Cricetulus griseus: one gene and its partner. The protein of the gene in region 2 purifies or fractionates together with the protein of the main gene of each other region. This does not show direct contact. Links are inferred from orthologs where the notes say so. Each region holds a gene or a part of one and is shown on either strand. Other genes may lie near its edges. The genes, in order: Sufu and Cdc25c.

The links.
Region 1: the proteins of Cdc25c (region 2) and Sufu purify together in Homo sapiens (affinity purification with mass spectrometry; 4 studies listed by BioGRID and IntAct, counting the BioPlex papers as one, with this or other methods). This does not show direct contact. The link is inferred for Cricetulus griseus from reciprocal best matches to the Homo sapiens genes CDC25C and SUFU.

The regions. Positions count from the first base shown.
Region 1 is NC_048596.1:15,195,551-15,199,363, forward strand, and holds part of Sufu (suppressor of fused homolog), read right to left. Parts: intron 1,942-3,813; coding exon 1,807-1,941; intron 1-1,806. UniProt on the Homo sapiens protein: Negative regulator in the hedgehog/smoothened signaling pathway. Down-regulates GLI1-mediated transactivation of target genes. Down-regulates GLI2-mediated transactivation of target genes. Part of a corepressor complex that acts on DNA-bound GLI1.
Region 2 is NC_048595.1:202,742,865-202,747,419, reverse strand, and holds the start of Cdc25c (M-phase inducer phosphatase 3), read right to left. Parts: upstream 2,945-4,555; 5' UTR 2,739-2,944; intron 2,383-2,738; exon of another isoform or gene 2,379-2,382; 5' UTR 2,346-2,378; coding exon 2,164-2,345; intron 436-2,163; coding exon 341-435; intron 1-340. UniProt on the Homo sapiens protein: Functions as a dosage-dependent inducer in mitotic control. Tyrosine protein phosphatase required for progression of the cell cycle. When phosphorylated, highly effective in activating G2 cells into prophase.

The DNA of each region.
Region 1 (3,813 bases), on a different chromosome or scaffold from region 2:
GAGGAGAGGTAAAGCCATGAGTCACATGGCAATACATAGGTTAATAGAAATGGGTTAATTTAAGTTGTAAGAGCTAGTTAGTAACCAGACGGTGGTGGCACATGCCTTTAATCCCAGCACTCGGGAGGCAGAGGCAGGTGAGTTCTGTGAGTTCGAGACCAGCCTGGTCTACAAGAGCTAGTTCCAGGACAGCCTCCAAAGCCACAGAGAAACCCTGTCTCGAAAAGCCAAAAAAAAAAACCAAAAAACAAAAACCAAAAAACAAAAAAGAACTAGTTAGTAATAAGCCTGAGCTATCAGAGGAGCATTTATAATTAATATTGAGTCTCTGTGTCGGTTATTTGGGAACTGGCAGGTGGGAAAGAAAAGTCCATCTACAAGGGTGATATGTTAATGAAGATGATAACCCCCCCCCCCCCGATTTATTGTAGTACTTAAAATCTTCCATGTTGCTATGTTAAATACTTTCGTATAGTAAGTTCCAGGCATGTCAGGACTATATAGCAAGAACTTGTCTCAAAAGAACCCAGATTATAGACTGAACTGAAGATGTAGCTCCATGATACAGCACTTGGCTACTATGCCTGAGGATCCTGAAGGAGTCTGACCTGTGGAGCCAGACTATCAACATCTAACCTGGCTCTCAATCAATCACCCAATCAATCAATCAATCTTGGCCCTCACCCTGTGGACAAATAATATTATGTTATAGCAGCTCTTTGTTTCCATTTCCTCATACTAAGTGGGGCACATATTATCACCTTCCAATTTTACAATGTTATGCTGAAAATTAAATTCATTAGTGACACATAAGTATAAAATAAATAGAAGAGTACCTGGCATATAATCAGTGATTTAAAAAAATGTTGTTAGCTTTTATAATTATTCTAATTGCAATTTTGGAAGATTAAATACTAAGTTAATTATATTTTTGCTTGGTATTAAAATACCAAAATTTAGAGCTGGGTGTTGGTGGCACACGCCTTTAATCCCAGCACTCAGGAGGCAGAGGCAGGCAGATCTCTGTGAGATCAAGGCCAGCCTGATCTCCAGAGCAAGTGCCAGGATAGGCTCCAAAGCCATACAGAGAAACTCTGTCTCGAAAAAAAAAAAAAAAATATATATATATAATATATATATGAAAATATAATATATATATATATTAATTCTCAAATATATATTTTAGAATTAAGACATATACTAGGTGATTATAAAGAGAAATCAGTGAAAGAGTAAGAAATTTTTTAAATTATTCTATTATTTTAAGTGTACGGTTGTTTTGGCTGCATGTTTGTCTGTGTATCCATTATGCGCCTGTTGCCTACAGAGGCCAGAAGAAGATACTGAATCTGCTAGAATTGGAGTTAAGACAGTTGTGAGCTGTCCTGTGAGTGCTGGGAATTGAACCTGGGTCCTCTGAAGAGCAGCCAGTGCTCTTAACCACTTGAGCTATGGCTGAGCCATCTCTCTAGCCTCAAAAAGGGTAAGGAATAGAAGCAGATCAGTGCTAAAAATGAAGTGGACAATGCTAGCACAGATGAATGCAAGTTTGCTGCACATATCTACAACCCCTGCCACGCAGGAGGCTCAAGTGCGAGGATGGAGAATTTCAAGAGCAACCTAAGCCATCTACAAGCACAAGTTCAATACCAGCTAGGTCTACATAGCACAAGCAGAAAGTACAAACAGAGAGGTAACACTGGGAAGTGTCACCTAGTAGAACTAACATGTCCACAGAACATCACACATGTTCAATAAAGCCAAAGAAATGGACTTATCAAGGAAAGACAGGTGGCATACACTCACTCATGGACTCTGCTGTCACCATAGAGGTCGCTCAGGCCAAAGCTGATGTAGTGCCAGTGCTCGGGGATGTTGGCAGAAGGACTCCCCATATTCCTGTACATGCTAACATAATCCAATGGGTCTGGACCACCCAACCTGCAAAAGACAAAATATAAGGTGTCAATTTAAACCTGGATACCAGAAAATGTCAAGTAAGAGGCTCTGCTCTACAAACCCAAAAGCCCCATCCTAGAAGGACCTAAAGCAAAAGATAACTAAAGGGCAGCAAAAATCTCTTTAGCAACGAGCCACGGGTGAAGCAGCTGAGGCTATTGACGCCTCATGACCAAGAAGCCCCCTTCTCTGCCCTCTGAAGCACACTTGCTGGTTGCACGCCTTGCTCTCTCCTGTTTCAAGTTGCTGACTCCAGCTGGAGTCTTCTATGGGGCCTGACAACATGCCAGGCTTCAAGGTAAGAGGTGCATCAGCTAAGCAGTGGCTGCGGCTTCTGCTGAATGACTATACAGAGCATGCCCAATGGACGTCATTCCTGGCAGTACAGGTATCAGTCTACGCCTGTCTCTTAGACAGCTAGTTCCTGAAAGCCTGGATTGTGCCTCTATTATTGTTTCTTCTAAATACACACAAAGCCTCTGGTCTGCACAGATCAAAGCTCATTCACTGAGAGTGACAAAGTCCAAACATCAGCTAGCCCAGCTCTACGCGGAGCACTGAAGCAATGAACCAGGCTGACCCTGTGAGCACCTGCGTGCTAAGGAGCATCCGAGTCATTTGTCTCAAAGAAGAGCTGGGACAATTCACAATTTGATGCTCCCAAGGCTCACATTAAATTTCCCCATAAATCCAACAGAGAAGCAGTTGAAGAAGATATTCAGTCATTACCTCACTAGAGATTTAATTCAATAAAAGTTCTTTTAGTAATTAGTGCTTAAGCAAAACAAAACAAGCAACAAACAAAACTGTTTTCCTTAAGAATGGACAGGAAAGCATAGTAGACTTGAGAAGCACACTAAATGGAAACCATCAGCAGAACAAAGTGTGTACTGAGCCCATGAACTCCACATGTGAGCAACCACAGACTGTACTCCACAGACTGTAGAATCTTTGCCTGGCCCTGGACCATAGGCAGGAGTACACTTTGCATGTGGGCTACACTACTGAGGGACCGCTAACAACCAAATAAAAGACATGGTACAGGAGATCCCAGCAAGCGTGCCAGGACCATGCAATTCAAATCCTATTTTAAAACCAGTAAGTCTGGTTTCATCCTCTTTGCCAGGATGTTATTAGCCTTTGCAGAAATCCTTATTCTCTGGGGAAAAAGAAAAGAAAAGGCTAAGTTATTTATAGAACTCATAAGAAAGAAAGTCACTACAAATAATTTAGCTCTCACCTGAGTGAGTTAGGTAAAAGGCCAAGTCTCTATGCCTGCCTTTTGTTTGTTTTTTGTTTTGCAAGACAGGGTTTTCCTGTGTAGCCTGGCTGTCCTGGAACTATCTCTGTAGTTCAGGCTGACCTGGAACTCACAGAGATCCCCCTCTGCCTCTAAAGTGTTGGGATTAAAGGTGTGCATGCACCATCACCAAATCACTTGACTAAATCCATAACCAGTTGTATTTAGAAACATTTTGGGGAAGGACAGAAGAAAGAAAAGGACCCCATTATGACTGCAGAACCCTAAAAAATACAGGCTCCATATTCCCTCCAACTTCCTATTGCAAATCCCCAAGAGCCTTTGCTGCAGCCTCAGTCCATTGAGCAACAAGCAGTGACACTGTGCTCCACGTCCTGCTCCACCTGCCAGCACACTATAGCTCCTTCAGACAGTCTCCCAGGAGAGGGCATATCAAGAAGAGGCCTTAAGAGGAGTCAGGGAATGGCAAGAACCAAACAGCCTCATACCCAAGCTCAGAGAGTGCTGTTCTATCATCCACACTCAGATAAATGTTGAAAATCATGCTTGACACTTAGGGAAAGATGTGCTCTAATGGCCTAAAGCACCCCTAA
Region 2 (4,555 bases):
CTTCAATTTTTATCCTATTACCTTGTCCTTTCCTCCTTCCTTATATTTGTAAGTCTTAGTGTTTAAAGACGGAACCACCTCTTCAGCCTAAGAGATGGCTAGCAGTTAAGTGTACTTGCTATTCTTCCAAAGGATCCAGGTTCCTTTCCGAGCATCCATATGGTAACTCATAACAGTCAGTAATCCCAGTTCCAGGGGATCCAACTCGCAACTATACTCTGATCTCTGAGGATACCAGGCATGCATGTGGTACACATACATGTAAGCAAAAATATTTATACACATAAAAGTTTAATAAAAATCTTAAAGTTAGTTTTCTCTTTAAAGACTGTCCCCCTACCTGTTTCATCAAAGTCAGCAGAAGTGGTAAGATGAGAAGCAGACATCTCTCCATTGCTAAGATTTGAAAGATCAAGGCAACGTTTTGGGGTTCCTCTGTTGAGACATAAAAATATATCAAGATTTCCATTAGGGAGTACTATCCTAAAAAAGGTAGAGATCATGTCTTCACTCTCAATTACTACCACAAAGATCTAAACAACATCCAAATAAATCTGCTATTTGGAAATAGCTCAGATTGGGCTGAGAAAAGCAATCCCCTACTTTTTTCTCTATTACAGTAATGTAATCCCAGCACCAGGGAGGCAGACACAGGTGGATCTCTGTCAAGGTCAGCCTGGTCTTCAGAGTGAGTTCCAGGACAGCCAGGGCTGTTACACAAAAAAAACCTGGTCTTGAACAAGCAAAAAAACAAAAAACAAAATCAAAACAAAAACAAAAATGTGAGACTAATTTTCTTCTCACCAACATATGGAGATGGGATTTATTTAATGAGAATCTAAAGGGATCTTTTTATAATTTTTACCACATTTTTTTGTATGAGCACATACTTGTGTGAAGACAACTCCAGGAGACAGGGGCTCTAACCTGGGCCCATCATGCTGAGCCATCTCACCTGCCCAGTAAATAGGATCTTGACCTCACATTCTCTACCCCGTTCACCCTGAACACAAATTCAATTTCTCCTCGGAATCTCTACTATTCCTCAAATCCTGTTTGCTACGAGGTGTAAAGACAATATGACTAGACTCTAAAGTACAACACTAAAACTGATACAATTAAAGTGACCAACTCATAAAACATAATAATAGAATTTTCAGAGTTCTTCATAGACATCACATTGATTCTGGCATGACAGGAAAAGATTATTCCTGTTAAGATAGAAAATGATTTTTCTTATTATTATTTGTTTGTTTGCAATAAGGCCTCACTCTGGAGCCCACTAGTTGTCTTGAAATTTACTAGTAGCCCAGGCTGAACCTGTGGTCATCCTGACTCAGCTTCCAGAAAGGTGAGATCAGAAACATCCTCCACCAAGTCCCATTTAGAAAAAGACACTTACGGGGGGGCGGGGGGGCCCTAAAGAGATGGCTCAGAGGTTAAGCGCACTGACTGCTCTTCCAGAGGTCCTGAGTTCAATTACCAGCAACTACACAGTGGCTCACAACCACAATTCAATCTGGTGCCCTCTTCTGGCATAAGGTAGAACAATGTATATGAAATAAATAAATCTTTAAAAAAAAAAAAAAAGACGTTTTTTATTGTTTGTTACATGGAAAGGAAGCCCAATGTGACTCAAAAGAGTCACACATTCAAGGTCATGGCTGAGACAAACCCTGAACCTCGAAACAGTATAATTCTGAAAACAAACCTGTTCATAAAACCAAAGACAAGGTATAAAACTAAAAGTTAATTTACCGGCTGGAGTGATGGCTCAATGGTTAAGAGTTTGCTGTTCCCCAGGGTTGGGGTTTGCCCACGCCCTTAATCCCAGTACTCCGGAGGCAGAGGTGAGAGGATCTCTGAGTTCAAGACCAGCCTGGTCTACAAGAGCTAATTCCAGGACATCCTCCAAAGCCACAGAGAAACCCTGTCTAGAAACAGCCCCCCCCCCCAAAAAAAAAAGCTTGCTGTTCTTCCAGAATACTGCAGTTAGGGCCCCAGCACCCACTTAAGGCAGAGTAACCACCTATAACTTCAGGCAGGTACAAAACTCTGACCCTCTGAGACCACCTATAATCACAAACACATACCCACGTTTGGAACACACACACACACGTCTACACATCATTAAAAAATAAATCTTTAAAAAAATAAATTTACCCAGACAAAATGCTTAGGTTTGTCGAGTCGAGAAGTTTGTCTCCTGGAGATTTGGGGAAATCTGGGAAAGAAGTGTTTCTTTCCAAAAGTAGGTTTAACATCTTCCTTTGATTGGACCTAAAACTGGGTGCTGAAACAAAACTTCCCTCTTTTCTTGCAGATGGAAAGGGTCCTGTAGACATGACTTCGGAGTCTTCACGGAAGAAGAGGGGTGGCTATCTAGGAGAAAAACACTACAGATACTCAGCTTTCCCAACCTCTCCGCCCTTTCCAGTGCCTGCCTAGGCCCGGGTGGAGGAGCACCCCCCAAAAGGATCCCCAAAGGATCAAGTATAACACGCTGGAATGTCACACTGCTCAGGGCAAAAATTTACAGAGACCTGGCAAGCTCAGGCCTTCAAAGGAGGAACGGAGAGAAGACTGGCTTGATCCGGATCGTTCAGCTTCACACTCTTGGCCAGAAGAATTGGATCTACCTAACGCGATAAGGCTATTCGGACCTCCGGTCCCCGCAAGAACCCTGCAGGGACAATCGGGTGTCCGAGATTCCCGAACGGACACAGCTCTCGGCTTACCTTCAGTTTAGAGGCAGATTTGAATTTGGAGAAAGAAACTCCTGCAGAACTGGACGGAAGCGAAGACTCCAGCGAATGAGAAGGAATCTGAGGAAGAGAAGAGGGTCTTCGAGTTAAAATGGTATCTAGTTAGCTCGAGGTCCAGATTTGCTGCTTCTCTCCGGAATTGGCAGAAGGGCAAGACCAACAGCCATAGGCCTGACCATTCAAACCTTCCGCTCTCTCAACAGCCTATCACTGTCCTTATGCCAGTAGCGTCAGCCAATCAGCGTGCGAGACTAGGACCCTGCCCCCTTACCAATCGCTAGGGTCGTACCTGGTCGACTAGGCATCTCCGCCACACAGAGAGTCTGATGCTCATTGGCTCTCCCTCTGGCCAATCGTCACACCCTTCAAGTACTCAATTCCCCCAGCCCCAGCAACCCCGGGAGATTTGAATCGAGCCCCGCTAACGATGACGGTCTGGAGGAACTATTCTTGCGTGAAGTGTTTTCTTCTCCTTGCTTCTTTCTCGCGTCGTTTCTCTTGAGTTTTGTTAGCTTTCGGCTGGAAATGGAGCATTTGCCGCCAGTGTGGCAGTTGTTGGGGCGTGGCAGGTGTGTATTGATGCTGAGCCGCCCCTGACCCATTCCAAGAGGTTTTCTGGGTAGAAATTCCTTTTCAGGGAGAGTAGGAGAATTGAACGTTTTGACGTAATCCTCACGACATTCTAAAGGATCTTAAACTTTGGCTATTTGTGCGGCTTTGAACATTAACAAAATTGTATTTATATGTGGGGAGAGGTGTGGTTTCATGCTTGCAATCCCAGCACTTGAGAGAGTGCGAATAGGAGGACAGAGTGAGCTCCAGATAACCCGGGGCTAGAGGGAGACACTGCTAGGAAGAGGAGGAGGGGGGCAGGAGGAGAGTTATTATGGTAGTGGTAGTGGGGGTGGTAATAGGAATGGAATCCAAGCCTTGGGAACGCTGGACAACTACTGTCATTTAGCTGATACTACCCAGTCCAAGATTTTTTTTTTCTTTTTTTCCGAGACAGGGTTTCTCTGTATTGCTTTGGAGCCTATCCTAGCACTCGCTCTGGCCTTGAACTCAGAGAGATCCACCTGCCTCTGCCTCTGCCTCCCGAGTGCTGGGACTAAAGGCGTGAGCCACCACTACCTGGCTCAAGAAATTAGTTTTAGACTTATTTTTTAATTGTATGTGTGCAAGTTGGAAGGTCAGAGGCAATCCCTCAGTACTGGAGTTACTGGCAGTGTGAGCTGCCCAACATGGGAGCTAAAAAAACCAAACTCTGCAAGAGCCATACATGCTCTTAACCACAACTCTCTCCAGGCCCTGAGCCCGAGAAATTCTTAGGTTGTTTTTCTTCTTTCATATCTTTTGCGAGTGGGCGTGAGTATAGATAAGATAATTGGCATGACTAGGAGTGACGTCTGGGTGGGAAATTTAATGTACATACTAATCACCTGGAGATCCTGAGAAAGTGGATTCTGATTCAGTAGGTCTGGGTATGAGACCCCAGGGCCATACTCTTGAGAAGCAAAGCATTAGGCTGTACTTTTTGTGTGTCATTTATCTTAAACTTGTCTTCAGCTTGAAATCCCTCCACCTCAACCACTTGAATTCTGGGATTACAGGCATGTGTAGTCATCCAGTTTCCTGCACTCTGCTTCAGAATAGATTTTACTTTTTTTCTTTTCTATAGCTTTTTTTAAATTTCATGTATATTCATGTTTGCCTGCATGTAAGTCTGTGTGAAGGTATCAGATCCCTGCCCTGTAGGCACTGGGAATTGAACCTAGGTCCTCTGGAAGAGA